3 linked regions of the Anolis sagrei genome follow. The protein of the gene in region 3 interacts with the protein of the main gene of each other region in a pairwise test. Links are inferred from orthologs where the notes say so. Each region holds a gene or a part of one and is shown on either strand. Other genes may lie near its edges. The genes, in order: PPP1R3D, PPP1R3C and EPM2A.

What was found.
Region 1: the proteins of EPM2A (region 3) and PPP1R3D interact in a two-hybrid assay, tested with the Homo sapiens proteins (2 studies listed by BioGRID, with this or other methods). The link is inferred for Anolis sagrei from reciprocal best matches to the Homo sapiens genes EPM2A and PPP1R3D.
Region 2: the proteins of EPM2A (region 3) and PPP1R3C interact in binary tests that used the Homo sapiens proteins (3 or more experiments, as listed by UniProt). The link is inferred for Anolis sagrei from reciprocal best matches to the Homo sapiens genes EPM2A and PPP1R3C.

Annotation. Positions count from the first base shown.
Region 1 is NC_090024.1:229,835,623-229,846,599, forward strand, and holds the start of PPP1R3D (protein phosphatase 1 regulatory subunit 3D), read right to left. Parts: upstream 3,941-10,977; coding exon 2,963-3,940; 3' UTR 1-2,962. Other genes in the region: protein FAM217B, read left to right, coding at 10,950-10,977. UniProt on the Homo sapiens protein: Seems to act as a glycogen-targeting subunit for PP1. PP1 is essential for cell division, and participates in the regulation of glycogen metabolism, muscle contractility and protein synthesis.
Region 2 is NC_090023.1:185,196,815-185,207,466, reverse strand, and holds the start of PPP1R3C (protein phosphatase 1 regulatory subunit 3C), read left to right. Parts: upstream 1-6,373; 5' UTR 6,374-6,536; intron 6,537-10,652.
Region 3 is NC_090021.1:75,309,981-75,320,964, forward strand, and holds the start of EPM2A (laforin), read left to right. Parts: upstream 1-6,255; 5' UTR 6,256-6,419; coding exon 6,420-6,687; intron 6,688-10,984. UniProt on the Homo sapiens protein: Plays an important role in preventing glycogen hyperphosphorylation and the formation of insoluble aggregates, via its activity as glycogen phosphatase, and by promoting the ubiquitination of proteins involved in glycogen metabolism via its interaction with the E3 ubiquitin ligase NHLRC1/malin.

The sequences.
Region 1 (10,977 bases), on a different chromosome or scaffold from region 3:
CTGCTTACACATAACTAGAGTAGATTCATTCAATCAATTGACAGTCATCACACAAATAAATGAAAAGGGGTTAATTGGTCTACTCTAGGCTGAATTTGTCCAAATGATGCCTGCTACACAATGTTGGAATATATGTGATCAGTCAGCTAAGCATTTTTTTTTCATGATACTCCATTTCACACTCTCATCCCTTTCCTTTTTCCCTTCCAAGGCCATGCTGCTTTAGGTTTTCCCCTCCCTATTTGGAATTTTCTTCCCAAGCATGAACTTATTTTTTACTTCTACGGTTTTATAACTCTTCCCACTATGTGTGGCTGCAGTATTTCTACTGAAATAATAAAGAAAACCCCATGAGATCTGTTTTGAGCTTCCCTATCATGTAACTGATAAGCAATAAATCAGAATTCTTGGCTTAGTCACCAGTAAGGAAAATAGATGTTCCATTACTCTGTCTTTCACATATGTTGGCCAGGCACTTCAAAGGACTGCCAAAATCTGAAGAACGGCCCCTTGAGAAGGCAGCTCATCAAAAAAAAAAAAACCCTCTTTAGCAAATGCATAGCTGGAATACTACTCTGGGTCCTTGGGATCCAGTTGCCATGAGACACAGAATAGGAATGGCTGGATTGAGCTGCAATATAGCCACCTTCAAGTTTCTCAAGGCCTAATGCTGTTCCACAAAAACAGAAAATTTGAAACTATGTGCTTTAACCACTCTCACATTGTGTAGGGACACGTTAACATGGAAGTGCAGCCATTGGTACAGGGCATGTTTGCATACAGGAGAAAAAGGAGAAAAAAACATCCTGCCTAAAAACCTAAACACTACTGCATGTAAACACTACTGAGCTACCAGGATAAAGCAGCTTCTTAGAGAAAATGTGTTGCAAAACAAGGAGAAGGAAATATTTTGGATATAAATATAATTCACTAATATTCAATTTGATAATTTCTAGCTGATTATGTTTAGCCAGCTAAATTAATGTTAGTTCTTTATATTTTCAATGAATCATATCTTCACAGCAGTCCTTTTAGATAGATAGATAGATAGATAGATAGATAGATAGATAGATAGATAGATAGATCTGAAGAGTGAGAAGAGGTATCATACAGAAACCCTATTTATCAAATACATTCTTCAACTAATATGTATGTATCAGCGCAACTTCTAGGCCTGCAGAACCCTGCATTCCATGTATTGTTTTACAAGTTATCAGTTATAAGAGTTCTTATTTTCATTTGTGCATATCAGTGTTTTAATGAAAGCTGGGAAGGAAATAATTTTGGCACACATATATAAAAACAATCATAGACACACAACACATGTACATATAAATCCATTCTTAATAATCCCTAATATATCCATTTGTAAAATATATACAGATAAAGCAAGGGTTTCAACCCAATCAAAGACTGAACTTCCAAGTAATAAATTCATCTTCATAAGTGTGTATCATCTCCTTTCTCCTATTTTCATAATTACAGGATGGCATTGGATTCCAAGATTTCTTGCAACTTAAGCACAATTCATATCTCGAATCACACATTCCACAAAAGAGAGTCCTCCTCCCCCACCTCATTTAAGGACAAACATGTTTAGACTGGCAAAAGCTTTTGTGGGCTGTAGTCCATGAATGCTTATGTCAACTTAAATTATTAGTTCTTAACAGGTTACATGATATTTAGTTGTTATGCTGCAAAAGAATCAAACAGCTACCCTCAGAAAACCATTTAGTTATAGTTCATTAGTAACAGTGCCTATATCCTCCACCTTTTACTCAAGCATCTCAGATAATATTTTCTTTTTTGAAATCAAGCATGAGCTCCTCAACTCTTGGTGATTATATCAGTGCATAAAAGGCTCACTCCTTTATTTCAATTTACAGCAATCTAGGTGAGTAATACACAGCTGGAGACAGTGATTCACATAACCTATTCTGATAACCTCAAATGGAATACAGTACAAAAGAGCAAAACTTTATTTTACTCAGGTAAACAACTTAGTGTGTTATTTTTCATCTATAAGTGTGCTTTGCTTGTAACCAGCAAGGAAAGGAACTTTTCCTTCAAGTGTAAACTGCATAGTTGCTCTACCCTGAGCAACAAAATGTTTCACATGTAATTTTTCCATTTGTGAGGACCTGAATGCTTCATGAATAGGGCACTAGTCTGCCAGTATGCTTTATAACACCTTCAACTCCCAGAAATCCTTACAGCTGGTAAACTGGCTGGGATTTCTGGAAGTTGTAGGCCAAAACACCTGGGGACCCACAGGTTGAGAACCACTGCTTTATAAAATGCAGTGTCTGCAAATATATTTCCACTTAGACCATTATAATACTCATCACCATCACTTTTTACAACCTGGCCCTGCAATATTTTGCCACTGCCTAAAAATGATGCAGCACTGGAGGTTTTTTCCTGCTAAGGAGCAAAATCACACCGCCCATACTTTACCTATTAAAATTATATCAAATAAAAACAAAGTGCAAAAGTGCATTGACCGAAGTGCAAATCTACAGCTTCAATGATTGCAAAAATAACTACATTTTAAATATCCAAACTCTATATATAGTCTCATCTATCACAAAGATTAATCAAAACAACAGAAATTGGCTTGTTTTCCCTGATAGTGTCCTTTCTGCTGTTGTTTACACATGCTTTCATACATAAAACACATAGACGCATACAAAAAAATACATATTGATTAAATCTAGGTGTTAAGTCAATACTTGGCTATGAATCAGTGCTGAAGATTATGGCCCTTTATCTCTAAAGAAAAACCATCTTTTCTGAACTCATTTTGTGGAGATCACTGGTATATAAATATTAATTCATTCTGAAGGATCTTTGCCACTCTGAAGGCCTTCTTTGGTGTATCAGGAAGAAGAGAAGTGCCAAAGGAAAACACAGGACTAGCAACAGCAAGAAGGCTGTAGCTCTTCTGTATTTCTTCTTTTACTTAAATAAAGTGGATCCAGCTCTCCTCACATTCCCTGGGCATTTTAAGTGGGTGATTCCTACAAGTGAGGCTATAGTTTTTGCCTTGGTTATTATCCCAATACTCCTGCCCACTGACTCGGAAAAACACTGCAAACTCAACCACAGAGCTGAGCTGGAGGAGGAAAGGGGGAAGAGGGAGGAAGAAGGTAAAGACATCCACTTGATCCTGCCCATCCTTGCCAGGAAGACTGCTATGCCAACGAGCAGCAACTTCATGCTGGCCCCTCCAGTGGTTAAAGGTATAGCGCACAGCCACCTGCTTTTCAAATGCAAGGTTGATGACTCTGATGGTGCCATTCAGACCCAAATCTGAGCTGGTCACTCGTTCAAGGCACACTTTCTGCTGCTGAAGGCGACTGAGGAACTCCTCGCAGTCAGCAGGTTGCCTGAAATCAGGCACCAGGCACTGCATGGTGAACTCCAGGTCTAGCCTGCTGCAACAAAGATCGGAATTGATGGAGAGGCGAGAGAGAACATGCAGAGGGATGGATGGGTCTTCCCCAGCTTGGAAGACTTTCACTTCAGCCAGCTCCAAGCCTAATGCATCTGCAAACCTCACTCGGTTTCTGCCAGTGTTACACCCAGGAACACGGCAGGGTGCTGTCATGCTTCTCCTCCTCTCCGGAGAGCTTGGCAAGGACCTGGCTCGACGACGCATGATGGGCCTAAGGTGTGGGTCACAGCTTGCAACCACAGGGCTCTGCAGATGTCTGTCTTGCAGCTTTTCACTGGCAGAAATATTCAGGAGGCTGATGCTGCTGTGAACTGGTGGGTATCTCTTCTGCTCCTCACGCTGGGCTTCTTCTTGCAACATGTTCTGATAAAGGCCAGAGAGGTAGCTGGGGTTCCTTCGTGGGGGCCTCAAAGCCACTTGCTCAGATAGGCAAACAGGTTGAGCAGACACTGCTGCTCCTGAGAACAATTTTCGTTGAGACATGGCAGATAAGACCCAGGGCCAGTGAGATAGGAGGCACAAGTTGGCAAGGCCAAGAGACTGTTTCAACACAGGGCAGTTTAAGGTATTGGGACAGGTAGCCCTAGATAATTTTGCGACCCACCCAAGTCAGACACTGTAGGACCCAGAGCAACGATGTTGAGCAACAGATGTCTCAAGACTATCACAGAGACTGCAGGGAGAGTCCAAACTGTCTGACTGGATGCTGGAAGCTTGGGTGCTGTCATACAAATTATTTGCTGACTGAAGACTGTCCAGTTGGATGCTGGATGTCTCCAGACTGTCTCCGAGGCTGAAGATGGAGCAGAAGTTGCTGTGCCGGAGACAGACAGAATCCAGGCTGTCAAGTGGATGGCGGGTACAATGAGTGTCAACGGATGCAAGGCTTTGACAGTGCTCTCTGAGGGAATCCAGACTGTCACTCTGAATGCTGGAGGAATCCAGAAGACTGCCAGGGCTGGAAGGTACTTGAAGGCTATTAGATTGGGCAGAGAGGGAGTCCAGGCTATTGGAGATGCTGGAAAGAGGCTGGAGAATGTTGGAGAAGCTGTGGGGTGTCTGAAGGCTATTAGAGAAGATGGGGGAAGGCTGGGGGCTGTTGAAGAAGCTCGATGGAGCTTGAAGACCTTCTTCGCCTTGGATGGAAGAAACCTGAAGGCTATTTGAGAAGATGGCAGGCGCTTGAAGACCTTCTTCCTGGAGGCTGTTGGAGATGCTGCGAGGAGTCTGAAGACTTTCTCCTTGGATGGAAGAAGCCTGGAGGTTGTTGGAGAAGCTGGAAGGAGCCTGAAAACCTTTGCCTTGGATGGAGGGAGCCTGGAGGCTGTTGGAGAAGCTGGATGGAGTCTGAAGACCTTCTCCTTGGATGGAAGAAGCCTGGAGGCTGTTGGAGATGCTGGGAGGAGTCTGAAGACTTTCTCCTTGGATGGAAGAAGCCTGGAGGTTGTTGGAGAAGCTGGATGGAGCCTGAAAACCTTTGCCTTGGATGGAGGGAGCCTGGAGGCTGTTGGAGAAGCTGGATGGAGTCTGAAGACCTTCTCCTTGGATGGAAGAAGCCTGGAGGCTGTTGGAGATGCTGGGAGGAGTCTGAAGACTTTCTCCTTGGATGGAAGAAGCCTGGAGGTTGTTGGAGAAGCTGGAAGGAGCCTGAAAACCTTTGCCTTGGTTGGAGGGAGCCTGGAGGCTTTTAGAGAAGCTGGAAGGAGTATGAAGACCTTCGTTTTGGATGGAAGAATCCTGGAGGCGATCAGGTTGGGCTGAGCTGCTGATGGAAGCAGTGGTGGAGGAAGCCGATGGATGGGGATGACCCAAGCTATGGCAATGGCTAGATGCTGAGTCCACGTTGGGAGCGTCCGGGCCCCACATGCAGCAAGCAAGGCTCAGACTCTTCCCAAGGCCCCCAGCGAGGACTGCAGGGTCTTCTCCTTGAGGCAGACTCCTGCTTCACGCCCCCTTTTCAGCCGGAAGCGTGCAGACGGGCAAGGGATGCAGGCGCCGGGGGTTGCTGCGGCTCCTCCCTCCACCTGACTGCAAGGGGTGCAAGCGTGTGACGCTCCAGAGCCCCTTCCCCAGCCGAGGACGTGGGGGAAAGCCCTCTATGACGTCACGGGTCGCCACCTCCCCCTCTCGGTTCCTCCGGGGATCCTCCCCGGCCTTGGTTCGGTCTGCGCCTGCGCCAGCAATCGACGCATGCGCACAAGACTCACCCGAAGTCCGAGTTGCCCTTCCTTCTTCCCGTTTCCTGGGGAACTTGATTTAAATACGAAAAGGAGGGAATGGGAGGAGGGAGAGAATGGCAGGAGGAAAGGAATAGCAGCTGCGAAGGAAACTCACGAATGGAGAGAGAAAAGAGAGAAAACGAAACCCAGTTAGAATGGATTTAACTGGATAAATGGCCATGAAAGTGTGTCCAAACCTCATTTTACAAAAGACGAAATGAGGAGCCTAATGGGCAGAGCTTGGAAGTAACTAGTTAGTTACGTTTAAAATAGTTACATGTATCTGCTTATTTTTTGATAACAATCTGTCAACAAAGTCGCATTTCAAAAATAACAAGAAACAATGAAACAGAAGATTTTCATTGTTTCTTGTTATGTTTGAGGCTTCTCTCATTTCCCCGCATGGGAAGCTGGAGCTGACAGACAGGAGCTCACTTCGTCTCACGAATTTGAACCGCCAACCTTCAGGTCAGTTCAGGATGTAGACTTATATCAAGGAAGCCATGGCCTTGGGTCTGCTAGAACTGAGCAAGGCTATTCATTCCAGGGCGATTTGGAAATCTCACATTCATAGTGTTATAGTTTTTCAAGGTCTTTAGCTTTTTCTGCCAAAGAGTGCTGGTGCCGCGCCAAACTATAACTTTGGGATTCCATAGCATTGAGCCATAGCAGTTAAAGTGGTGTCAAACTATGTTTATTCCACCGTGTAGATGTGCCATGACGAGGGGAGATTATTTTCAGTGATATATGGGAATATAGGGAGCCCCCGGTGGCGCAGTGGGTTAAAACGCTGAGCTGCTGAGCTTATAGAACCATAGAATCAAAGAGTTGGAAGAGACCTCATGGGCCATCCAGTCCAACCCCCTGCCAAGAAGCAGGAATATTGCATTCAAATCACCCCTGACAGATGGCCATCCAGCCTCTGCTTAAAAGCCTCCAAAGAAGGAGCCTCCACCACACTCTGGGGCAGAGAGTTCCACTGCTGAACGGCTCTCACAGTCAGGAAGTTCTTCCTCATGTTCAGATGGAATCTCCTCTCTTGTAGTTTGAAGCCATTGTTCCGCGTCCTAGTCTCCAGGGAAGCAGAAAACAAGCTTGCTCCCTCCTCCCTGTGGCTTCCTCTCACATATTTATACATGGCTATCATATCCCCTCTCAGCCTTCTCTTCTTCAGGCTAAACATGCCCAGCTCCTTAAGCCGCTCCTCATAGGGCTTGTTCTCCAGACCCTCCATCATTCTAGTCGCCCTCCTCTGGAGCTTGTTGATCGAAAGGTCGCAGGTTCGATTCCGGGGAGCAGCGTGAGCTTCCGCTGTCAGCCCTAGCTTCTGCCAACCTAGCAGTTCGAAAACATGCAAATGTGAGTAGATCAATAGGTACCGCTCCGGCGGGAAGGTAACGGCGCTCCATGCAGTCATGCTGGCCACATGACCTTGGAGGTGTCTACGGACAACACTGGCTCTTCGGCTTAGAAATGGAGATGAGCACCACACCCCAGAGTCAGACATGATTGGACTTAATGTCAGGGGACTACCTTTACCTATGGGAATTACAATATGTGAGCAACATTAACACACAAACTGACTAAGGATTCTGTATGGTGCGCCTCCTGCTAGACCAGACCAAAGGGAATCCTTAATAATTTTGTGTGTGTGCACGCGTGCATGTTACAGCCTCATCACACTAGAGCATAGATCCACTTTAAAACTGGTTTCTGCCTCCTGCAGAATTCTGGGGTTTGTAGTATCTGGCAGAGCAGTTTAAAGGCCCCTCCCTAAACTACAAGTCCCAGAATTCTGCAGGAGGCAGAAACTGGATTTAAAGTGGATCGATGCTCTAGTGTGATGTCCTTAGAATCACTTATATATTGTAATTCCCGTATATCACTGAAAGCAATGACATTCACAGGCTCTCATCCTCAGAGTTTGTCAATGCTATGATTCAATGGAATCCTATTTTTATTTATTTATCATGTCAGTATCAACCAGACAATTGTATTACATTTTAAACAAATTTTTAACAAACAGACGAAACAGAGTTTGCAAGCTTGGTAGTTGATTAAATGTCCTTTGACCAGTATCTGGCCACTTGGAGTGCCTCTGGTGTTGCCTCAAGAAGGTCCTCCATCGTGCATGTAGCAGGGCTCAGGTTGCATTGCAGCAGGTGGTCTGTGGTTTGCTCTTCTCCACACTCGCATGTCGAGGATTCCACTTTGTAGCCCCATTTCTTGAGGTTGGCTCTGCATCTCGTGGTGCCAGAGTGCAGTCTGTTCAGCACCTTCCGAGTCGCCCAGTTTTCTGTGTGCCCAGGGGGGAGTCTCTCATTTGGTATCAGCCATTGATTGAGGTTCTGGGTTTGAGCCTGCCACTTTTGGACTCTCGCTTGCTGAGGTGTTCCAGAGAGTGGCTCTATAGATCTTAGAAAACTATTTCTTGATTTAAGTCGTTGGCATGCTGGCTGATACCCAAACAAGGGATGAGCTGGAGATGTCTCTGCCTTGGTCCTTTCACTATTGGCTGCTACTTCCCGGCGGATGTCAGGTGGTGTAATGCCGGCTAAACAGTGTAATTTGGAATCCTGGGAGCTGTTGTTTTACAGGGTCTATCGTATTCTCTGCCAAAGAGCCACAAAATTTAGTCTCTGGGCGTACATTTACACTGCAGAATGAATTCAGTTTGGACTGTCATGGATTCCTTGGATATATAGTTTTGGATGCATCTACACCAGTATTTCTCAACCTGGGGGTCGGGATCCCTGGGGGGGGGGGTCACAAGGGGGTGTCAGAGGGGTCACCAAAGACCATCAGAAAACACAGTATTTTCTGTTGGTCATGGGAGTTCTGTGTGAGAAACTTAGTCCAATTCTTCCGTTGGTGGGGTTCAGAATGCTCTTTGTAGGTGAACTATAAATCCCAGCAACTACAACTCCCAAATGTCAAAATCTGTTTTTCCCAAACTCCACCAGTGTTCACATTTGGGCATATTGAGTATTTGTGCCAAGCTTGGTCCTGATCCATCATTGTCTTGAGTCCACAGTGCTCTCTGGATGTAGGTGAACTACAACTCCAAAACTCAACCTCAGTGCCCACCAAACCCATTCCAGTATTTTCTGTTGGTCACGGGAGTTCTGAGTGCTAAGTTGGGTTCAGTACAATCGTGGGTGGAGTTCAGAATGGTCTTTGATTGTAGATGAACAATAAATCCCAGCAACTACAATTCCCAAATGACAAAATCAATCCCCCAACCCCACCAGTATTCAAATTTGTGCGTATCAGGTCTTTGTGCCAAATTTGGTCCAGTGAATGGAAATACATCCTGCATATTGGATATTTGCATTACAATTCATAACAGTAGCAACACTACAGTTATGAAGCAGCAACGAAAACAGTTTTATGATTGGGTGTCACCACAACATAGAATCAAGAGACCTCATGAGCCATCCAGTCCAACCCCCTGCCAAGAAGCAGGAAAATTGCCTTCAAAGCACCTCTGACAGATGGCCATCCAGCCTCTGTTTAAAAGCTTCCAAAGAAGGAGCCTCCACTACACTCTAGGGCAGAGAGTTCCACTGCTGAATGGCTCTCACAGTCAGGAAGTTCTTCCTCATGTTCAGATGGAATCTCCTCTCTTGTAGTTTGAAGCCATTGTTCTGTGTCCTAGTCTCCAGGGAAGCAGAAAACAAGCTTGCTCCCTCCTCCCTGTGATTTCCCCTCACATATTTATACATGGCTATCATGTCTCCTTAGGGAAGGCTGAGCGAAGGAAGATAGATGCTTTTGAACTGTGGTGTTGGAGGAAAGTTCTGAGAGTGCCTTGGACTGCGAGAAGATCCAACCAGTCCATCCTCCAGGAAATAAAGCCCAACTGCTCATTGGAGGGAAGGAGACTAGAGACATAGTTGAAGCACTTTGGCCACATCATGAGGAGACAGCAAAGCCTAGAGAAGACAATTATGCTGGGGAAAGTGGAAGGGAAAAGGAAGAGGGGCCAACCAAGGGCAAGATGGATGGATGGCATCCTTGAAGTGACTGGACTGACCTTGAAGGAGCTGGGGCTGGTGATGGCCGACAGGGAGCTCTGGCGTGGGCTGGTCCATGAGGTCACGAAGAGTCGGAGACGACTGAACGAATGAACAACAACAAAATTACAACAGCACAACAACAGAGAGGAAACAAACAAAGACATCTAATCACCTCTCAACAAAAGTTTGCTCCAGGCACTGTCAGGCCATTACATGCTAATCAAGGTGGTCAGTTGAAACATTCACACCTAGCTCCAGCAGACAAGAGTCCTTTGTCATTCCACAGATATATAAACCCTTTCCCCTAGTTCCAACAGACCTCACCACCTCTGAGGATGCTTGCCATAGATGCAGGCGAAACGTCAGGAGAAAATGCCTCTAGAACATGGCCATATAGCCCGGAAAAACCTACAATAACCTTAGTCAAATTCTCCCATCGGTGGGGTTCAGAATGCTCTTTGATTGTAGGTGAACTATCAATCCCAGCAACTACAACTCCCAAATGTCAAGATCTATTTTCCCCAAACTCCACCAGTGTTCACAAATTGAGTATTTGTGCCAAGTTTGGTCCTGATCCATCATTGTCTGAGTCCACAGTGCTCTCTGGATGTAGGTGAACTCCAACTCCAAAACTCAACGTCAGTGCCCACCAAACCCCTTCCAGTATTTTCTGTTGGTCATGGGAGTTCTGAGTGCTAAGTTGGGTTCAATACAATCGTTGGTGGGGTTCAGAATGGTCTTTGATAAACGACAAGTCCCAGGATTCCATAGCATGGAGCCACAACAGCTTGCATTCCTTGGCCAGTGTGGCTAATGTGCTGCTGCTGCTGCTGTCGTGGGCCCGCCCTCCTTGGCGAGGCGGCTGGCCAATCCACTCCGCGCCCAGGGTTTGGAGAGGGAGGAGGGTCCCTCGGGGCGGCGAGGATGCCTTTGCCCGGCTGAGGATAAACAATGCGCCCTGCCTCGAGGGCCAGCTCCAGAAGGAGGGCTGCCCACCTGCCTGCCTTCCTGCGTGTGGAGCAGGGTCTTCTGATGCCCTTCCATCGGCAGAGGAGGCGAAGTCAGGCGTGGGGGGGGGGGGGGGAGAGGCGTGCGTGGGGTTTGTTTACTGCAGCAACGCTAGGATGGAGAGGTGAACCGCTGCTGCGCTTTTTCGTCGAGCTGCTTTGCAATCTCGCTTAAACCGATGCCCAAAGGAAAGGAGGGAAACCCCAAAGGAGGAGGAGGAGGAGGAGGAAGAGGAAGCCTCTTATAATGGGACCGGGCATCCGGGATTACCCCT
Region 2 (10,652 bases), on a different chromosome or scaffold from region 3:
GATTGTTGTCGACCTTTGCAACTCGAAAGACAGTTGCATCTGTCAAGTAGGAAATTTAGGTACCACCTATGTGTGGGGAGGCTAATTTAACTAATTTACGAGGCCATAAAAAAATCTCCAGCAAAAGCATGTGGGGAATGCAGAATGTACTTCATCAGTGTCACAGATGGACAGTGAAGCGACAGCTCTCCTGGTGGCTGGAAAATTGGAATGTTAAATAGCCTCTGACTGTCTGTCTATATGTCCTGTGTGTCTATGGCATTGAATGTTTGCCATGTATGTGTACATTGTAATCTGCCCGGAGTCCCCTGCGGGGTGAGAAGGGTGGAATATAAATACTGTAAATCAATAATAATCTATCTATCTATCTATCTATCTATCTATCTATCTATCTATGTATGTATATAATAAAAGTCAGTGTTTGTATGCAGAGGGAGGGAGGGCGGTGTATGTGGCAGCTTTCTGATTGGCTGCCACTTTCACAAGCCACTGTGACCGCTACGAATGGTGAACCTGGACTAAACTTGGCACACATAACCCCCATGACCCACTTTACATCCCGGTGCGGTTTGGGGGATTTGGACCACTGATTATGGGATTTGTAGTACTTTCAAATGCTTTGGTTCCCACAGACCACTATGGCCCCCAACAAAGACCGATGAAGACCAAACTTGGCACACACAGCCCCCAGGACCAATTCTACATCCTACTGCAGTTTGGATGATGGTGGACCATGGATGATGGGACTTGAAGTACCTCCACTCACTTCCGGAGACCACTGCGATCCTCATTCAATGACTGACCAAGACCAAACTTGCCACTCATAACCCCCTGGCTGCCTTTACATCCTGGTGAGGTTTGGGGGAGGGCAGACAATGGATGATGGGATTTGTAGTGCTTTCAAACCCTTCAGATCCCACAAACCACTGCGGCCCCCAGTAAAGACTGATAAAGACCAAACTTGGTACACAGAATCCCCATGACCCACTCTACATCCTACTGCAGTTTGGAGGAGGATGGCCCTCAGAGGACCTCACAACCTCTGAGGATGCCTGCCATAGATGCAGGCGAAACATCAGGAGAGAATGCTTCTAGAACATGGCCATATAGGCCAAAAAACTTACAACCCATGTTACATAATGTTACAGGCCTGTACGGTCAACCCCTGTACCCACAGAACTCATACCCATATGTTTCACCTACCCACATCCAATAAAATGTGTCTTCTTTAGGAATTGTCTGGGTCCTCCAACATGACTTTACGGCCACATGTGACAAAATCCATTCATTTTCAAGGGAGAAATTTGTCAAGAGGAAGACCCATCAAGCCAACCCTTGTGACCATCTTTCATCTTGAAATCTCTGTCCTCATTGCAAAAGACCATGCAGATTCAGAATAGATCTTCATAGTCAATTACAAACCCACCACCAAGACTACCCTTGGAAGACAATCATATTCAGCCATGAGTGATAGCCTATATTGCTATTAACTTCAATTTGCCATTTCTGTTCAGGAATGTACACACCATGATCATTGGAGAGGTGTCATTCTATATTCTCTATCATCTACTGTATATTTTACTAAATAATTTCTCCTGGCTCAACTCCCCCAAAACTGATGGTAGTGTCATTCATTCAATTCAATTGCTGGCAGAAGGGACCTCCTTCTCCCACGCAGCTGATGCCCAGAAAAGTAACTGTGTGGGGAAGTCATGACTGTGGCAATGGTGTCATAAAAGTGACTCAGTAGTGATAGTGAGTATGGAATACCTACCTATACTAACTGTTCTGCCTTCATGATCACTACTTAGTCATGAATCACAAGAAGAAGGAGTCCTATTCTGCTGATGTTTGGAGCACAGGTAAATAACATTTCTATCAGGTTTAGCACAGTCCGGCCAGGAGAGGTTATGTTTATTTAACTAAGTAGTTGATAGAGAATACCGACTAATGTCCTCTGTGTAGCACTGAGATATACAGTCCAATCTTCCTAGCCTTGTTTGTTATGAACTCCATTTATTTGCTTGCAGTCCACATACATATGCCCAAGAGGGCAATTTACAAGGATGAAAAGAAAGGGGTAATCTTGAAACCTAATGTGTTTATGCTGCTTTTCACATATAATCCTTTTGGAGTATCTTCTAATGAGATTATTTGTTCATATCTTCCAAGCTGCAGCCCTCCATTGATTTATAAACCCAGTGAATATAATGAGATTGACTTCTGAGTGCACATAACTAACTCTACTGTTGGTCATGCTAAATAAACTCTTCTGCATACTGTCTTAATAGATTCAATCAGGCACATCCAATGCTTTTTTGTATTTAAATTGGTTCATTACACTGATGTTAATCATTCTAAAGCAAGCATGGGCAGACTTCGGTCCTCCAGGTGTTTGGACTTCAACTATCACAATTCCTAACAGGCGGGCTGTTAAGAATTGTGGGAGTTGAAGTCCAAAACACCTTGAAGGTCAAAGTTTGCCCATGCCTGCTCTAAAGTGATTCATGTTCAACTTTCCCAGATTTGAAATCAAAACATGTATACAGAAAAAAACAACAAACTAATCAGTTTGCTCTGGCCTCCACATTAAAATCTCATTCTCTCTCTCTCTCTCTCTCAATCTGCCTACGTGCCAACCTGCCTCTCTCTCTCTCTCTCTCTGTCCATTAGGCTTGTCTGATCAAAAAAAAAAAAGAAGTTCAAAACTCGTTTCGGATGTAGGGGGCGCTGGTGGTTCGATTCTAAAGTCAATTCCGATTTTCACAGAAAAAAATGTTCAAAACTTTTTGAAACTTCTGAGACTTCCAAATCCTTTCATTAATGGTTTGAAAGTGTTATTTCCTATTTCGTTGTATTGTCTTTACTTTGAAAGTAGTTGTTTTACTCCAGGAGCGGGGAAAAGCAAGCAGAGTAAATCCTTTCCTTCTCTGGTTTAAAACTGGCTTCTCTGGCTTGAGCAGAGGCCAGGAACCAGAAGCAGGGAAAAGCAAGTGGAGTAAATTCCTACCTTCTCTGGTTTAAAACTGGCTTCTCTGGCTTGACCCGAGGCCAGGGACCAGAAGCGGGGAAAAGCAAGCGGAGTAAATTCTTTCCTCCTCTGGTTTAAAACTGGCTTCTCTGGCTTGACCCGAGGCCAGGAAATTCCTTCCTTCTCTGGTTTAAAACTGGCTTCTCTGGCTTGACCTGAGGCCAGGGACCAGAAGTGGGGAAAAGAAAGCAGAGTAAATTCTTTTCTTCTCTGGTTTAAAACTGGCTTTCTGGCTTGAGCCGAGGCTAGGGAATTCCTGCCTTTTCTGGTTTAAAACGGGCTTCTCTGGCTTGAGCCGAGGCCAGGGACCAGAAACAGGGAAAAAGCAAACAGAGGAAATTCCTACCTTCTCTGGTTTAAAACTGGCTTCTCTGGCTTGAGCCGAGGCTAGGGACCAGGAGTGGGGAAAAGGAAGCGGTGTAAATTCTTTCTTCTCTGGTTTAAAACTGGTTTCTCTGGCTTGAGCTGAAACCAGGAAATTCCTTCCTTCTCTGGTTCAAAACTGGCTTCTCTGGCTTGAGCCTAGGCCTGGGACCAGAAGCAGGGGGAAAGGTGAATCATTCCCGACTCACTTCATGAGTCATAACAAAAATGGCAGAGAAAGCTTTGGAAGGGCAAAGGGACTTCCGGTTTTCTTAAAAATTTCAAAATCACTTTGAAAAGGCAATTTTTTAAAATTTATTTCTAATTACGAAGATTCCGACGGTACCTAACCATGCCTACTATCCACCCATCCATCTGCCTGTATCTATCTGCCTCTATCTATCTATCTATCTATCTATCTATCTATCTATCTATCTGCCTCTATCTAATTAGGCATGTGCAAAAAACCCCACAAAAACAAACGGAAAACCTCGTACATTGGACCTCCTGCCAAAAGTAGAGTCCATCAGTCACATACTTTTCAAGGTGAAGTTCCAGCACTTAAGGCTGCAGGAAAAGGCCAAATACTGCAGACGTAGCAGTTTGAAAAGCACCACGAGCAATAAAGTTAAAATTAGAAATCTATTTATCTATCTCTATTTACTGCTCTCTTTTTTGCACCTACTTTGTCTAAGGATGAAAGGACTTTGTAGGTTTTCTTCTGGCTGGGTTGCTGCACAACAGGCAGGGATATGCCCAGGGAGCTCTTTGCTAGCAGTACAGTGGAATAGATGAGCTTCCTCTGTGGAATTTCAGCCCATAACATTTCCTTCCCAAGAAAAAGATGTTCTCAAATAAGGAAAACAATGCAACTGGTTTTGTTTTCTTAAAAAAACTGGAAAGCTCTGGAGAGATGGAAAGTCTATTCATAAGAACCAAAAGGAAACATCTGGAACATGTTTTGCTGAGTCCTGGGCCGGGGAGTCAGAAACAAGGAAGGGCAAAGACCCTTTTCTCCTTTAACCACAGGGTTGCTTGGAGCAATCTTGCAGACTCAGGACTCCTCTGGAGGAAGTGTCTCAAGAATGATCCAGAGCCTGGAAATGTTACCTTTGAGTCAAACTCAGAGATGTGAATACTCTAACTGGGGCCTTATCACACTAGAGAGAAAAATCCACTTAAAATCTGAATTCTGCCTCCTGCAGAATTCTGGGGTTTGTAATTTAGGGAGGAGCCTTTAACAGTCTCACTAAACTACAAACCCGATTTGCAGATTTTATGTAGATTTTTTCTCCAGTGTGATGAAAAATGCAATTTCCAGTATCCCCAGTCACTATGGTCTGCTGGGGATGTCAGATGCTGCAGTCCCAAACCCAACATGTCTGGTCATTATGGTTTGCTGGGGATGTTCTGGTCACATGTTCTTCTGGGGATGTTGGAAGCTGTAGTTTCAAATGCCTGCTGGGGATCTTGGGGGTGTTGTCCAAGCCTCCCAGGATGCCCACTCACCCAGGTCTCTTGGAGATCTTGGGAACTGTAATCCCAATTTCCAGGATACCCAATCACTACAGTGTGCTGAGGATGTTGGGAGCTGCAATCCCAATTACCAGCATGCCCAGTCACCATGGTCTGCTGGGGATGCTGGGAGCAGCACCCCGAATTCCAGTATGCACAATCACCATGGTCTGTTGGAGATGTTGGGAGCTCCAATTTCCAGTATGACCACTCATCATGGTCTGCTGGGGATTCTGGGAGCTGCAATCCCAATTTCCAGTATGAACGGTCGTCATGGTCTGCTGGGAATGATGGTACCTGCAATCCCAATTACCAGCATGCCCAGTCACCATGGTCTGCTGGGGATGCTGAGGCTACAACTCCAAATTCCAATATGCACAGTCACCATGGTCTTCTGGAGATGTTGGGAGTTGCAATCCCAAATTCCAGTATGCATGGTCAGCATGGTCTGCTGGGGAAGTTGGGAGTTGTAACCCCACATTCCAGTATGCTCAGTCACCATGGTCTGCTGGAGATGTTGGGAGCTGCAATCCCAATTACCAGCATGCCCAGTCACCATGGTCTGCTGGGGATGCTGGGGGCTGCAACCCCAAATTCCAATATGCACGGTCACCATGGTCTGCTGGAGATGTTGGGAGCTGCAATCCCAATTTCCAGTATGACCATGCACCATGGTCTGCTGGGGATGCTGGGAGCTGCAACCCCAAATTCCAGTATTCATAGTCACCATGGACTGCTGGAGAAGTTGGGACCTGCAACCCCAAATTCCAGTATTCACGGTCACCAGGGTCTACTGGGGATTTTGGGAGTTGCAATCCCAATTTCCAGTATGACCATTCACCATGGCCTGCTGGGGATGTTGGGAGCTACAACCCCAAATTCCGGTATGTACAATCACCATAGTCTGCTGGGGATGTTGGAAGCTGCAATCCCAATTACCAGGATGCCCACTCACTATGGTCTGCTGAGGATGCTGGAGATTGCAGTCCCAAATTCCAATATGCACAGTCACCATGGCCTACTGGGAATGTTGGGAGTCACAATCCCAAACTCCCAGTTTCCCAGTCACAGTGTCCTTTCGTTTTCCCAGTGTTTCAATGGCCTGCTGGGGGATGTTGCAGTCCCAAAGTCCCAGCATCCCCAGCACTAAAGACCTTGTGAAACTCCCATGCCCAGGATCCCTTAGCATGAAGCCATAACAGTGCAACTTTGCTGCCAGACTGCAGTCCATTCTACGGAGTGTCCCGGATGTTCTGGGCAGCCCTGAGTGCCATTCAATGGGAGGCCTGGGAAAGCCCGGCTGCCCGGCAGGGGCTGACCTTGAGCCGCTCGAGCTGGGCTCCCACCGCCTCCGGCCCAAAGGATCACGTTTCTTCAGCTCGGCGCTGATTGGCCGGCGGGAGCCTCGTGGGCCTCGGGATTGGCTGCCCCGCCGCTTTCACGTGAAGAAGGCAGCGCCGGGGCTGATAATAGCAGGCGGAGCGCGCGCCGGCCGTGGTCAGTCTGGCAGAGCGCAGCCCGACACGCGTCTTCTCGCGCCTTTGAACGTGTGAACGGCCGCTTCCTCCGCGTTCTGGATGCCCCTCCGCCTGGGTTTGGTGGGCGCTCCTTTAAGCAGTTAGAGCAGGTGAGCCTGACTTGGGTGGGGAAGGGAAAGCTTGGCATGGAAAGAAGCAATGCGGGTTGATACCGGATCTAAACTGCCCTGTTTTTCCACACACAGAACATCAAGGCAGACAATCCCAATCTGCTTTGAATAGGGTTATATGAGTCCACACTGCCATATATCCCACTTCAAAGCAGATAATGTGGATTATTTATTTATCTATGTGGAAAGGGGTCTTAATACTTATGGGATCATTGGGAGCTGCAGTTTTGCAAGGTCTCTAGCTTTCTCTGCCACCCTGCGAATCCTAGCGTTCCATAGCACACATTAAAGTGGTGTCTAAACAGCATTAATTCTGCAGTGTAGATGCACCCTAGCAATCACCTGTAGTTCTGACTAAGCATTTTTTAGGAAGGCTGCAGGGTTTGAGGGCTTTCCAATGCTGTATCGAAATAGTATTTTAAATTATATTAATGATATAACACAATTTACCCCATAATAGGGCTAACTTTGATGTAGCCACACAGTAGAATTGTAGCAGTTTGAATCCACTCTTAACTTCCAAGGCTCAGTGGTATGGAATTTCAGGAACAATAGCTTATTGTGGCATCAGAGCTCTGGGGTCCCTTCCAGACAGGCCCTATATACCAGGATCTGATCCCAGGTTTTCTTTTTATCCCAGATTATCTCTCAGTGTGGACTCATATAATCCAGTTTTAAAGCCACAAACCTGAGATCAGATCCTAGGATATAGGGCCCTTCCACACCACTAAATAAAATCCCACATTTTCTGCTTTGAACTGGGTTATATGACAGTGTGGACTCAGATAACCCAGTTCAAAGCAGATACTGTGGGATTTTCTGCCTTGAGATTCGGGGTTATATGGCTGTGTGGGATAGAGAAAGCTAAGTATCTCACACAACTAGATATCCAATATAATACTACTACTAATAATATGATAATATAATTATATTACATGTAATATTACTAATAATATTACAATATAATGGTATAGTACAATATAGTAATATATAATACTGACTAGCCGTCCCCTGCCACGCGTAGCTATGGCCCAGTCTGTGTATGTTTCGTGTGTGTTTATGTGTGTGTATATATTTGTGTATATGTGTATATATGTGTGTTTGCATATATAGACAGATAGATAGATCTAGATAGATAGATAGATAGATAGATCGGTGTATATGTTTGTGTATATATGTGTGTATACATGTGTATATATTTGTGTATTTCTGTTTATATGTGTATATGCATATTGAGTATATGTGTGTGCTTGTGAATAATATGTGTGTATGTATGTCTATATGTGTATGTGTGCATGTGTATATGTATGTGTATATTTGTGTGTGCTTGTGTATATATATGTGTGTGTATGTATGTATGTGTGCATGTATATATGTATGAGTGTATGTGTATATATTTAGTTGATTTGGGGGGGGGGGTTAAGTCTGTTCTGCTGGGTTTTTTGTGTGTTTTAGGGGTGATGGACACTCATTGGCCTGATAGGTGTATTGTGTCCAAATTTGGTGTCAATTCATCCAGTGGTTTTTGAGTTATTTTAATCCCACAAACGAACATTACATTTTTATTTATATAGATATTGTTCTATGCTAATAATAATACATATCGTATGTATATATATATATATACATCGTAAGCCTCTCTGAGTCCGCTTCGGGGTGAGAAGGGTGGCGTATAAATGTCATAAATAAATAATAAATATCCCATAATTCTATAACATTAAGTCTTGACTGTTATCAGGATTAGATTCAATCTATTACACTACATAACACAATTTTCATTTCTAGGTTATAAATATCCTTTCCTAATTGGTTCTGTCTTTAAAACATGGGAAAAATATTAAACTGCACAAGCTTTGTTTGTGCTGGACATCCTGCAGCACGTTTTGCTCTAGTTTTTCTCATCCAAGCCTCAACTAATTCAACATAGTTTGTGATAGACACAGAAATGAAGTTTCAGGAGTGGGACAACTACTTTCGAAGTCAGGACCACACAATTAAACAGGAAATAACACTTTCAAACCAGGAACAGGTTTTTTTTCCAAAATTTTGTTACATAGTTCAATTTTTTCATGACTTTTTAAGAAAGTACAGTCATGGCTATTTTGGTGCAGTGACATATTTATTGTGACTCTATTGTTTTGCAAACACATTATTTCAGGAATCTTAAATGTGGTTCCTGAATCCCATCAATCAAAAAGGGGAGAGGTAGAAGGACTGGATCTGTCATTTCATTTTTCTCTGCGGCTTCTCGTAACTGTGTCAGCAATGGAATTTCTAATATCCCGGCAGTGTGTCTTGCAGACGGATCTGGTTGAATGTTCCTATAAATGGCCAGGTTTAAGTAACTTTGGGCCCTTGCACACAGTCCTATATCTCAGAATATTAAGGCAGGAAATCCCACATTATCTGAGTGTGGACTCACATAACCCAGTTCAAAGCAGATATTGTGGGATTTCCTTCCTTTATATTCTGGGATATAGGGTTGAGGGGGAAGGGCCCTTGATCCACAAGTTTCTAGAAGATTCTAAGTTTTCACATTCATTGGACCTGACATTCGAGCTGATCCATGGCTGAAACAGTGGACCTTTCCACACAGTCATATAACCCAGAATATCAAGGCAGATAAATCACAATATCTGCTTTGAAATGGGTTATCTGAGACCCCTTCCACACAGTTTATTTATTTATTTACAGTATTTATATTCAGCCCTTCTCATCCTGCAGGGGACTTAGGGCGGATTACAATGCACATGTACATGGCAAACATTCAATGCCAATTAGACATACAACATATATAGACAGACACAGAGGCAATTTAACATTCCAGCTTTTCCGGCTTCATGAGGTTTTCCAGCACCTCCCCCTGGCCACAAGGGGAGCTGCCACTTTACTGTCCATTTGTGATACCAAGTCCTTTGATGAAGTTTTTTTTGTCGTGTCAGGAGCGACTTGAGAAACTGCAAGTCACTTCTGGTGTGAGAGAATTGGCCATCTGCAAGGACGTTGCCCAGGGGACGCCCGGATGATTTGATGTTTTATCATCCTTGTGGGAGGCTTCTTTCATGTCCCCGCATGAGGAGCTAGAACTGATAGGTGGAGCTCATCCACCTCTCCCCGGATTCGAACCTGTGACCTGTCGGTCTTCAGTCCTGCTGGCATAGGGATTTATCCCACTCCCCCACCGGGGGCTCAAGTACTTCTTCATTCTTATGCGCTGCTGGAAGGTTTTATGGTGTTGTAAATTAGTTAAGTTAGCCTCCCCACATAAAGCAGTACCTAAATTTCCTACTTGACAGAATGCAACTGTCTTTCGGATGCATAGGTCGACAGCAAGCTAGACTGGAAGCTCACTCTGACCTGAGCTAGCTTCAAACTCATGACCTCTCGGTCAATAGTGATTTAATGCAGCTGGCTATCAGCAAGCTGTGCCACAGCCCGGTCCCATAAAACCCCACATTTTCTGCTTTGAGGTGGGTTATATGGCAGTGTGAGCTCAGATATCCTAGTCCAAAGCAGATATTGTGGGATTTTCTGCCTTGATATTCTGATTTATATAGCTGTGTGGAAGGGCCCTGAGTCCACACTATCATATAATCCAGTTCAATGTGGATTTTATACAGCTGTATGGAAGGGACCAGTGTCTCTTACCAAGTTATGAGAAGGATTCCTAAATTATTACAGTCATAAAAAGTAACTACCTATCTTAACCTCTATGTAACTTTTAAAATGTCATTGGAAACCTTAGTAGGCAATGAATGTCCTTGGGGGAAGAAAAGGATACTCAACTGCTTACTTTCTGATTATAAGATACAAACTTTTGAGTTCTCCAAAAGTCTTAATCGTGCTATTTCTTTACCGTGTCAGAAGCAAATTGAGAATACAATTATAATGTTTATCATTGTGCTAAATGGAATAAAAAAATCCAACATATGGCTTTAAAAAAATGACCTCTCCCCAATACCTTAAATTATGTGCCTTTTACTTGGCTGACAAGTTCTCCAGAACTTGAAAGTTTACATATTTGTAGCATTTGGTTGGGAGGAATAGTTGTTGCTCAACTCTGTATTTCAGATTAAATTAATGTGCATGCAATAA
Region 3 (10,984 bases):
ATACCTTCCCCATGTAAACCTTATAAACATTCATATTTTGTGGCTGAACAGAAGTCAGCAGAAATATAGCTTGACTGCTTAGAAAAGACTTTGCAGCTGAAGAAGTTCTACACTAGATGGCTCTAGCTTCAAACAAAAACCAGTTGCACCTGGGGTGAGCAATTGGTTTGTTTTTCTACCATATTAAGAATTTTGAACACTTCTTTCTCAACACTACATGCACTTTTACTTTTAAATCTAGATACTGTGTTTTTTAAAAGTTAATCCAGAGCTATTAAAATAATGCTGTAAAAATTCTGTTCAGTATATTCTTACGTACAGGAAAACAACATAAATCTACAGTATCAGTATTTTATACTGCTATGCAGGGTTTGTTAGGTTTTTTATTTTAAAAAAACACAGTATTTTTCAATACTTGACCTTTTTCCTGTACTATATCTTGCCTTTGGGTCTCTCACGATAATTTTTCCATTTGCATTGCCTTTCTTTCATATTCACAGCAATTTCTTTCTCTAACCAATACACTACCTTGTTTCAATGTTTTCAGTGAATGCTATTTTGCAACATCGGTTAATCATAATAAAACACATTTGCCATTTTTATTTAGTATATGTTTTTCCTTGTCAGTAAGCAAAATCAGACTTGGGAATCATTATTCCCTGATGTTATGGGTCTGCAACTCCCAGTGTTCTTCACCATTGGTACTGCTGTGGTATTGCAGTTCAACATGATCTGAAGGGGTAACATTATTCTTGCCCTGGTCTAAGTGATCTGGGTTTTTCTTGATTCTGCTTAGTAAGCTGAAATATGTTTACAGCAGTGAATGAATGTCACTATGGTTTTAGAACCTATAGCAAGATTTTATCTTTCTTCAGTGTACTTCACATGAACAATTTTGACACTTGAAGACTAACTTATATTTTGGGGGTATTATTTGTTGGTAATTTGAACTGTTTAACATTTTTGTCTGCCTTTTAGTATTATGAAATCATCTTCTGGTAGCTATCACAGTCGACCTTCCACATTCGTGGGTTTAACTTTTACAAATTTGATTTTTTGTGAATTTGATTAGAATAATCTCTCAAGGAATCACTAGGTCCTCCAGTGCGACTATATAGTCATTTTCTAGCAGAGTCATGCTGGAGAACTAAGATTCCTAGAGCAGTGTATCCTCAGGTAAAAAAAAATAGCATTTGTTTTTATTTACGTTTTTTCACTTTAACAGTGCTATTCTGCCCCTACCCCCAGCAAATGTGGAGGGCTAACTGTACATCTATCCACCATTCTGTCTGAATATCTAAAAGTTAATTCTCATACATACCTTCAGTTGTGGCAGTGTTTCTAGAAATTACTATCAACCGTTTAGAAAGCATTTTATATCTAATGAATTCTTAGATGACAGAAAAAGACCTTTCTCCTCAGGATTTTGGGAAAGACATTACCAGTAAGTGAAGAGAAAAATACATAGATGAAGGAGAATATTCACTACAAAAGATGCCTGTAATTGTTTTATACACCTCTTTTTTGATAACTAATTTTGTAGATCAGAGCCATACTTTAGTAACATACCTTGATTTCAGTCAGATTTTTGAAAACACAACCTTGTTATATTCTTGCAGATAAGCTTGTTAAATATAGGCAAGACAGTGGTTTTTTTCACTGGTTTCCCAATTGAACACACAAGAATATTCACCAGTGATTCCTCTTTATCCTGGAAAGAGGGACTAGCAGGATATCATAGCAATCTCTTTTAAAACCATTGTGGTTCAACATCTTGATAACAATGTAATTGACAGGATAAACAACATAATTATTTGCAGATGACACCAAACTAGGAGGGGTAGCCAACACTCTGGAGGATACAGTCTAAGGATTCAAAATGACCGTAACAGATTGAAAAGTTCAGCCAAAATGAATGAATAATTTCAACAGGGAAGAAGTATCACTTGACGCACACAAGATATTCAACAAAGCTGCAAAATGCACTTATTCTGCCTTGAAAGTTAAGGGAAGAAAAACAAACTGGCATTTTGTTGGATGCATGCATTAATGAGTTGATGCATAGGATAACACCTTTGAACAGCACTGACAAGGTAAAAATACCTTCTTGAGTAAGTCCCTGTCAGCTTCACACATCTGAATCCTGTAGTTTTTGCCCATTTTTGTCACCATTGGATCACCTCTGTCATGTTGGATGGGGACTAGTGGCAAATACCCACTTTTGTTGTCATGCCAGATTAGGGCATTGTACAGATCCTGTTTCTAAACCAATCTTGTGTTACTTTGTTAATGTGTAAAGTACTTTACTCCTTACAAAATGAAATATCTTTTACTATAGAATTGCCCTGTATTTGACTCCATCCATCTAGTTTTCAATCTTGACCATTTTAGTGATGACCAGCAATAAAAGCATCCCCACAACTTGATACTATCACTATTCTGCATCATTTTGGGGATCAAGTGTTCTTAGGTCAACATGCACTCTGCTTTGTCCCACAATGTTCTGCAGCAAGACTAAAAATTATGATCCAATCTGACTAGTAACCTATGTGTGTGTTTATTGCAGCAATTGATTTCTTACTACTCTTTCATAAAGGCCAGCATTGTGGAGCATATGGTGATATGCCCCCCCCCCCAAAGCTGAAACCTGTAGCCCCTTCAGAGTAATCATTAGCATCTTTATTGTTTCTGATTAATGTCCTCACCTTGATCATTGAATTTTGACAGGAGCTATCCCTAGGTAGTCATAGTTGAACTAGATTATTTCCATTTTATGGCCAGTCTGGAGGATGTTGAAACTTTGTGTGTTGAGGGAGGTGGCTTTTGCACGACTTTATCCCACACTTATTTGGAGAGCCCCATGGGCTTTGTGACACCACTTGTTTATAATACTATCTGCTTTCTGTCAAGCCGAGGCCTTCCAGAAAACAGGTGCATTTAATCTGAGGCCATGGAATGACGCTGCAGGCAGGAGATTGCACCATAGCTTGTTTAGGCATATCACAGTGAAAACATGACACCTTCATAGTGTTGAGTGTCTTGCCTACATCAAACTGTAATGCCAATTGAATCCACAACAAATTTTGAAAAAGCCCAATATGATTGATTCTGCAAGATGGTGTAGCGCATTGTATATCACTGCAAGGCACCAGCTCTGGATCTTTTTGTTGAACTTTTTTCCTCACCATGTGAACGTTGTTCATACATTCTGACTATTATTTCTTCGTAACATGCCCCTTTCCCAAAAGTGGGACTTGATCCAACTCTTTACACTCCTTTACAACCAGCACTTTATGAAGTTAAATATGGAGAAACAATAAGTTTTCATTTCTGTTCCAAGCTGTCTTGGGGCAGCTTGGAACAAAATTAAAGCAAACAAAATTGAAATGTCTGTGATTGGTAAGTGGAAGTTAGATCTGGTAGTTATTGTGCAAAATATTTCATTTCGTTGTCAGGTGACAAGTGAAAGGAAACTGTCTATCACAACTGGGAAATGACCAAAGGGACTCTTCAACTATATAGGAAAGGCCCTGTTTTTTAAGCTTTAATGGGATCTCTTTCCTTTTTGAGAAAAGGGTAGAGCAGCCCGTTACTAGGATCTACAAAAGAGCAGTTGCACTCCCAAAAAGGCAGCTGTTACGAACAGAAGGCAGGACTCCAAAGGAATCTGGTTTGGGTTGCTGTGAGTTTTCTGGACTATATGGCCATGTTCTAGAAGCATTATCTCCTGAAGTTGCCCACATCTATGGCAAGCATCCTCAGAGGTTGGGTCTGTTGGAAACAAGGCAAGTGGGGTTTATATATCTGTGGAATGTCTACGTGGGAGAAAGAACTCTTGTCTGCTTGAGGCAAGTGTGAATGTTGCAAATGGCTACCTTAATTAGCATTTAATGACCTTGTAGCTTCAAAGGCTGGCTGGTTGCTGCCTGGAGGAATCCTTTGTTGGGAGCAGTTAGCTGGCCCTGATTTATTCTTGCCTGGAATTCCCCTGCTTTTTGGGTGTTGCTCTTTATTTACTGTCCTGATTTTATTGTTTTTTAAACATTTGGTAGCCAGATTTTGTTCGTTTTCATGGTTTATTTATTTACTATATTGATTTACTATATTTATATACCTTCCCTCTCAGCCCACAGGTGACTATCCTTTCTGTTCAAATTGTCCACATGCTTGTGGATTTCAGTGGCTTCTCTGTGTAGTCTGACATGGTGGTTGTTAGAGTGGTCCAGCATTTCTCTGTTATCAAAGAATATGCTGTGTCCAGGTTGGTTCATCAGGTGCTCTGCTATGGCTGACTACTGTGAATGAGTCTCCAGTGCCTTTATGTTCCTTGAATCATGTTTGGGCAGTGCTGCGTTTGGTGGTCCCTATGTTGCTGCAAGGCCATTAAATGCTAATCAAGGTGGCCATTTGCAACATTCACACCTGCCTCAAGCAGACAAGAGTTCTTTCTCCCACCCTGCACATTCCACAGATATATAAACTTCACTTGCCTAGTCTCCAACAGACCTCTGAGGATGCCTGCCACAGATGTGGGTGAAACATCAGGGATGAATGCTTACGGAACATGACTATACAGCTTGGAAAGCTCACAGTAACTTAGTGATCCCGGCCATGAAAGCCTTCGACAACACTTTGAATCTGGATTGATTTGCCCTGGATCTTTTTGACAATCTAAGGGCCCTTCCACACACCCCAGTTCAAAGCAGATATTCTGGGATATAGGGCTGTGTGGAATGGCCCATAGACACCTTATGCAGTACTGAGGGCCCTTTCACACGGTCCTATAACCCAGAACATTAAGGCAGAAAATCCCACAGTATCTGCTTTGGACTGAGTTATCTGAGTCCACACGAGGAGCCCCCGGTGGCACAGTGGATTAAACCCCTGTGCCAGCAGGACTTAAGACCGACAGGATGCAGGTTGGAATCCCGGGAGAGGTGGATGAGCTCCCTCTATCAGCTCCAGCTCCTCATACGGGGACATGAGAGAAGCCTCCCACAAGGATGATAAAAACATCAAATCATCCGGGCGTCCCCTGGGCAATGTCCTTACAGACGGCCAATTCTCTCACAGCAGAAGCGACCTGCAATTTCTCAAGTCGCTCCTGACACAACAAAAACAATAAACGCTTGGATAATGTGAGTTTCCAGCCTTGATATTCTGGGATATAGGGCTGTATGGAAGGGGCCCTAAGAGCAGCTGTTCCTTCGGGTTTTTTGTTCTTCGGTTCCATAAAACGTTTCAAGGATTCTATGAAGGGTGATAGTATGATAGCTGGGTCCGGAAGCTCCAAGCGTTATGCACATTCCGCAACAGCGATTGTGAATAAGGAAAGGGAGGGCAGAAAGATAGGAAGGGGGGGGGGAATAATAAAGATGATTAAAAAAAATTTTAAAAAGGAAAGGGAGGGCAGAAAGATAGAAAGGAAGGGGGGGTTAGGATAAGGTTTAGGGTTAGGGTAAGGTAGGGTAAGCTTTAGGGTCTGGGCTTAGGCTTAGAGGTAGGGTAAGGTTTAGGGTTCGGGTAAGGGTTTTACCATTAAAGAACTCTTATATTCCTTCTATAAGATTATGCTGTGCAAACAGCACTCCCAAAGGAGCGAAGCGGAGACAGCATAACGCTTCTAGCTTCCGGACCCAGCTATTTATTTATTTATTTACATTTATATGCCGCTCTTCTCACCCTGAAGAGGACTCCGAGCGGCTTACAAGATATATATACATACAATATATTATATTATTGGCATAGTTCAATATCAGTATTAAATATTGCTATATTGTACTATACCATTATATTGTAATATTAGTAATATTACATGTAATATAAATATATAATAATATATCAGTATTATATTGCATTACATTATAATATAACTATTGTATGTATATACAATATATTATATTACATTATACTGTATTCTTAGAATAGCACAGGAGACAAGGTGAAACTGTCTCCTGTCCCCCTCTCTCTCCACTCTGGCCCAGAGCAGCAGTTGGTGCTGGGGAGAGGGGTCCCCAATTGATACTATATACTGGCCTATGCATTTTGACTAACCTTGTACTATTACCCTATGAAGTCCCAGACAGGGATCACGCGAAACTTGGTAATCGCTGACTCAGCGCTTCCCACATTCTAGTGCTTTGGACTTCCACTCCCAGAAGCCTCGGCTGATTGGAACAATGGCAAAGGATCCTGGGAGCTGAAGTCGCAAAAAACAAAAAAACAAAACCAAACTTGGGAGGCTCCCTTCGCATGCGCAGGTCACGTGATCCCTCCCTATCGCTACCAGTCCCTATTAGGACATGGCTGGCAATTGCTCCCCTGCCTTTCGCCCCTAGCGGCCGTGAGGGGAAGCTCAGCCGTGCTCTCTCTCCCTCCCCAACTCCCTAGTTTCTAATAGCGGCCCGGCTCCCGCCGAGATGCTATTCCGTTTCGGGGTGATCGTGCCCGCCCGGCTGGCCGACGGCGGGACGGCGCTCTGCGTGTCGGGTTCCCGCCCGGAGCTGGGCCAGTGGGAGCCCAAGCAAGCCCTGGCCATGAAGCCCGCGCGGCCGCTGGCGCCCCTGCCGGCCCAGGAACCCGTCCTGTGGCTGGCCGAGGTGGCGCTGCCCGAGGAGGAGGAGGCCGGAACCACCTTCTGGTACAAGTTCCTCAGGCGGCGCGAGACGGGGGACACCATCTGGGAAGGTAACGGACGGCCCCCGCGCACGCACCCCTGCCTGATTGCTTGCCTGCGTGCTCGCTCGCCGGCGTGTTCTGCGCGTGCGCCAGAGGAGGGGGCGTGGCCAAGTTGGCTAGATAATCAAAGTTGAGTATCGCTCATGCAGACATCCTAAAGCAGGCCTGGGTCAACTTGGGCCCTCCTTCCAGGTGTTTTGGACTTCAGTTTTCACCATTCCTAACAGCCTCAGGCCCTTTCCCTTTCCTTTTTGGAGCGATTCTGTGGCCAGCGACAGAATTACGCTTATGGCTCTTGCTGAACCGGCTGTTCATAGCAGCTATAGATAATCTTGGGCCCTCCAGGTGTTTTGGATTTCAACTCCCACCATTTCTAACAGCCTCAGGTCGCTTAAGCGGCTTAGAGGGGGAAGGAAAGGGCCTGAGGCTGTTAGGAATGGTGGGAGTTGAAGTCCAAAACACCAGGAGGGCCCAAGATTACCCATACCTATTATTCACAGTCGGTTCAGCTGGGGATTGGCTTTGGTTTGACTTACATATAAGCCAACTTTAAAATCTTTGCCATAGACACTGAGAACTGGGAAGCCCTGGCCCTTGAGCGCTCCAGCTGGAGGTCAGCTGTGACCAGCAGTGCTGCAGAATTTGAAGAGGCACAAATGGAGGGTGGAAGGGAGAAATGTGCCAGGAGGAAGGCACGTCAAGCCAACCCTGACCGAGACCGCCTTCCACCTGGAAAACAATGCCCTCACTGTGGGAGAAGATGCAGGTCAAGAATAGGGCTCCACAGCCACCTACGGATCCACAAGAATACTGATCATGGAGGACTATCCTACTCATCCAACGAGGGATCACCTAAGTAAAGTCAGCTGGGGACCCCTCAATATACCAACTGCCGCTCTGGGTCAAAGTGAAGAGAGAGGGGGCCAGGGGACAGTTCCACCTTGTCTCCTATGCTATGCTAATAATATAATGTAATGTAATATATTGTATATACATATAATATTTATAATATAATGTAATGCAATATAATACTAATATGATATTATATTAATATATTTATATTACGTGTAATATAACTAATAATATTACAGCATAATGGTATCGTACAATATAGTAATATTTAATACTGATATTATACTATGCTAATAATATAATATATTGTATGTATATATATCGTGTAAGCCGCTCTGTGTCCCCATCGGGGTGAGAAGGGCAGCATATAAATGTCGTAAATAAATAAATACATACATAAAAAGTCCAAAATACTTGGAGGGAGGCCCCAAGTTGGCCCAGGCCTATTCTATAGTGTTGATGCACCCACAAAATCATTCATTTGGGTAGACTGGATAGAGTTTCATTTTGGGATGGCTCAGTGTACACAAACTTTGTTTTATGCGCAAAGTTATTTAAAAATGGAATAAAATTACTGGCAGGATATGTGCATAAAGTGTACATGAAATATAAATAAAATTTAATGATTAGATTTGTGGGCAGTTTCCAAGATATAGGTCAGCTTCTTGTGGGATGGGGTGGTGAGCAGGGAGGTATAAAAAGAAGGGCTGAAATTCTATGGAGAGAGAGATGGGGAGTGGGGGGGGGGGAGGAGAGAAGGGGTCTACGTTGTTAATTGCAGCAATAATATGTTTAATGCTTATGCCTATGTTTGACATTTTTATAGTTTTAATGATTTTAATTTACAGTTATATGTTATTGATTTAGATATGTGATATTATCTCTCTCTCTATATATATATATGAGGCATTGAATTTGCCATTTATTATGTTGTAAACCACTTTGAGTCCCCCCAGAGGTGAGAAAAGTGGTATAGAAATGCAGATAATAATAATAATAATAATAATAATAATAATAATAATAATAATAATAATAATAATTGCAATATATATGTTCCAAATTCATGTATTTATTTGTATTTACATGTATATATATCATATCCCCCGACACTTTTTCAGCACTTTTAACCCTGTACCCCACTTCAGCCGGCTCAGTTTTTAATAATGTCCTGTTGTATTGTTATTGCTGTTGTTTTTCTGCTTTAACTGTTTTATTTGCTATATATTGTATTGTTGTATTGTGTTGTGTTGGGCTCTGGCCTGTTGTAAGCCGCATCGAATCCCTTGGGAGATGCTAGCGGGGTACAAATAAAGTTTAATAATAATAATTATATATATATATATATATATATATATATATCTCCCTCTGGTGGCACAGTGGATAGAACTGCTCAACTTGCTGACCGAAATGTTGACGGTTCAAATCCAGGAAGCGGGGTGAGCTCCTGCTGTTAGCCCCAGCTTCTGCCAACCCAGCAGTTGGCAACATGCAAGCGTAAGTAGATCAATAGGTACCGCTTCAGCAGGAAGGAAACGGCACTCCATGCAACCATGCTGGCCACATGACCTTGGAGGTGTCTACAGGCAATGCCAGCTCTTTGGCTTAGGAATGGAGGTGAGCACCACTCCCCAGAGTCAGACACAACTAGACTTAGTGTCAGGGAAAACCTTTACCTTTTATTTATTATGTACTTTGTAGTGGGTCTTTATTAAGTCACTAATAAAAATGCAGAGTTTCTTTTTCTTTCCTCTGACCTCTTCCTCCAGGCCACTTCTTGTGTCTTTTAAGATACTACAAATGTTTTGGACCGCTGAATGGATCTATTTAGGAAACTCCCTTGGGAATTTCTCCTGCTCTGCTTGGTGACCTTCCAAACCTCGGTGGTTTTATTTTCTTTGACATCTTGTTTTGTCTTGACCTGCATCAATATTTGGATATCTTTGGGTGGACCCACTTATCAGCTCTTCTAACCTGAAGGTTTAGGAAATATGTTTTCCCGCTGAAATTGTTTAGAAATTGAATAGGTGCAATAGCTTATGCACATTATGCTGAACAAATTAGACAAGTGGGATCTGCTCCCTTAAACCTATGTCCAGTATAGAAGACAGGAAATCATTCACTTCTGGGCCCAGAGCACAGTTCCTGTCATGTCAGCTTCTAGCAAGTAAAATTTATCTCTGCATAGTAACTTCCATTGGCTTATTTATGAGGGCAAAGTCTTCTGAATATGTATCTCTCCAGGCCATTGCAATCAGGCATGCCTCAGTTAATCAAACCTCTGACAAAGAAGCTCCTTTTTGCAAAGTCTTTTTATACCCCTACTCTCCCTATTTCCCCCCTTGCCCTCAAGGTTTCATCTCTTCCATTTGGAAGATGGTGGACTGGAGAAACACAGGCTTTTGATACCATGTTGTCAGAGGGCAGTGGTGTCAAACTTGTAACCCTTCACTTCCCAGAATTCCTGGCCATTGGGCAGCTGGCTAGGGCTTTGGGGAGTTGGATGCCAAAACATCTGCACACCACAAGTTTAACACCTCTGCACAGGGTATTTGTAGTAGTAATAAACAATCCAATAAAGCTGAATATTATGGAAGCAACCTGATTCCATAATATTGTAGAGGTATGTGCTTGTCTGCAACAAGTAGGGTAAGCAACAGCCGCTTTGGAACTGAGCCTGTGTGGACAGCAAAACAAAGTAAAGGGAAAAGCAAGTTAGTCTTCCCCATCGTCTACTCCCAACATGTTAAAGAAGCACTGATCTATAAAATGGAAATCATGAAAAGCAAATGATCCCTGAATAAAATTTGGAGGAAATCTTTAAGTGGAAAGTTCAAAATATTTTTGTTTACTTACACAAGTGTTACTAATCTGTAGTTCCAGTTCAGAAATGCATATTGTTAGCTTTGGATACAAAATTTATGAATGCTCTGTGGAGTAGGAACCCATTTTTTATTTCCTATGTTATTTTTCACTTTGGTCCCATTTATTGTTGTTCTTGGTAATGAAGGAATGGCCAGGAATGTAACTCTTACATTAACAGAAATATGATTGTATTGCCACTATTTCTCATCATGCCTTCAAGATCTCATCAGCAAAGTGGACTTTCTCTGAGAGATCACTCAGGCTCCATTTACACTGCCATATAATCCAGTTTCTGAATACACATTAACTGCATTGAACTTGATTATATGGCAGCATAGACTTCTATAATCCAGTTCAAAGCAGTTAACGTGCACTCTGAAACTGGATTATATGGCAGTGTGTATCCAACCTCAGACATGACCACTGCATTGTCCCACTGTCTGTTGTAAGATTTCTTCTCATTCACAGCTTACTCCATATACTTCTCACTTACTGAAAAGAAAAACAGTCTCTGACATTCAGCCATGAATACATTTCTTCCCAATATCCCCCATCACTACCACACAGTTTATACCATTTTGGTTAATAAAAG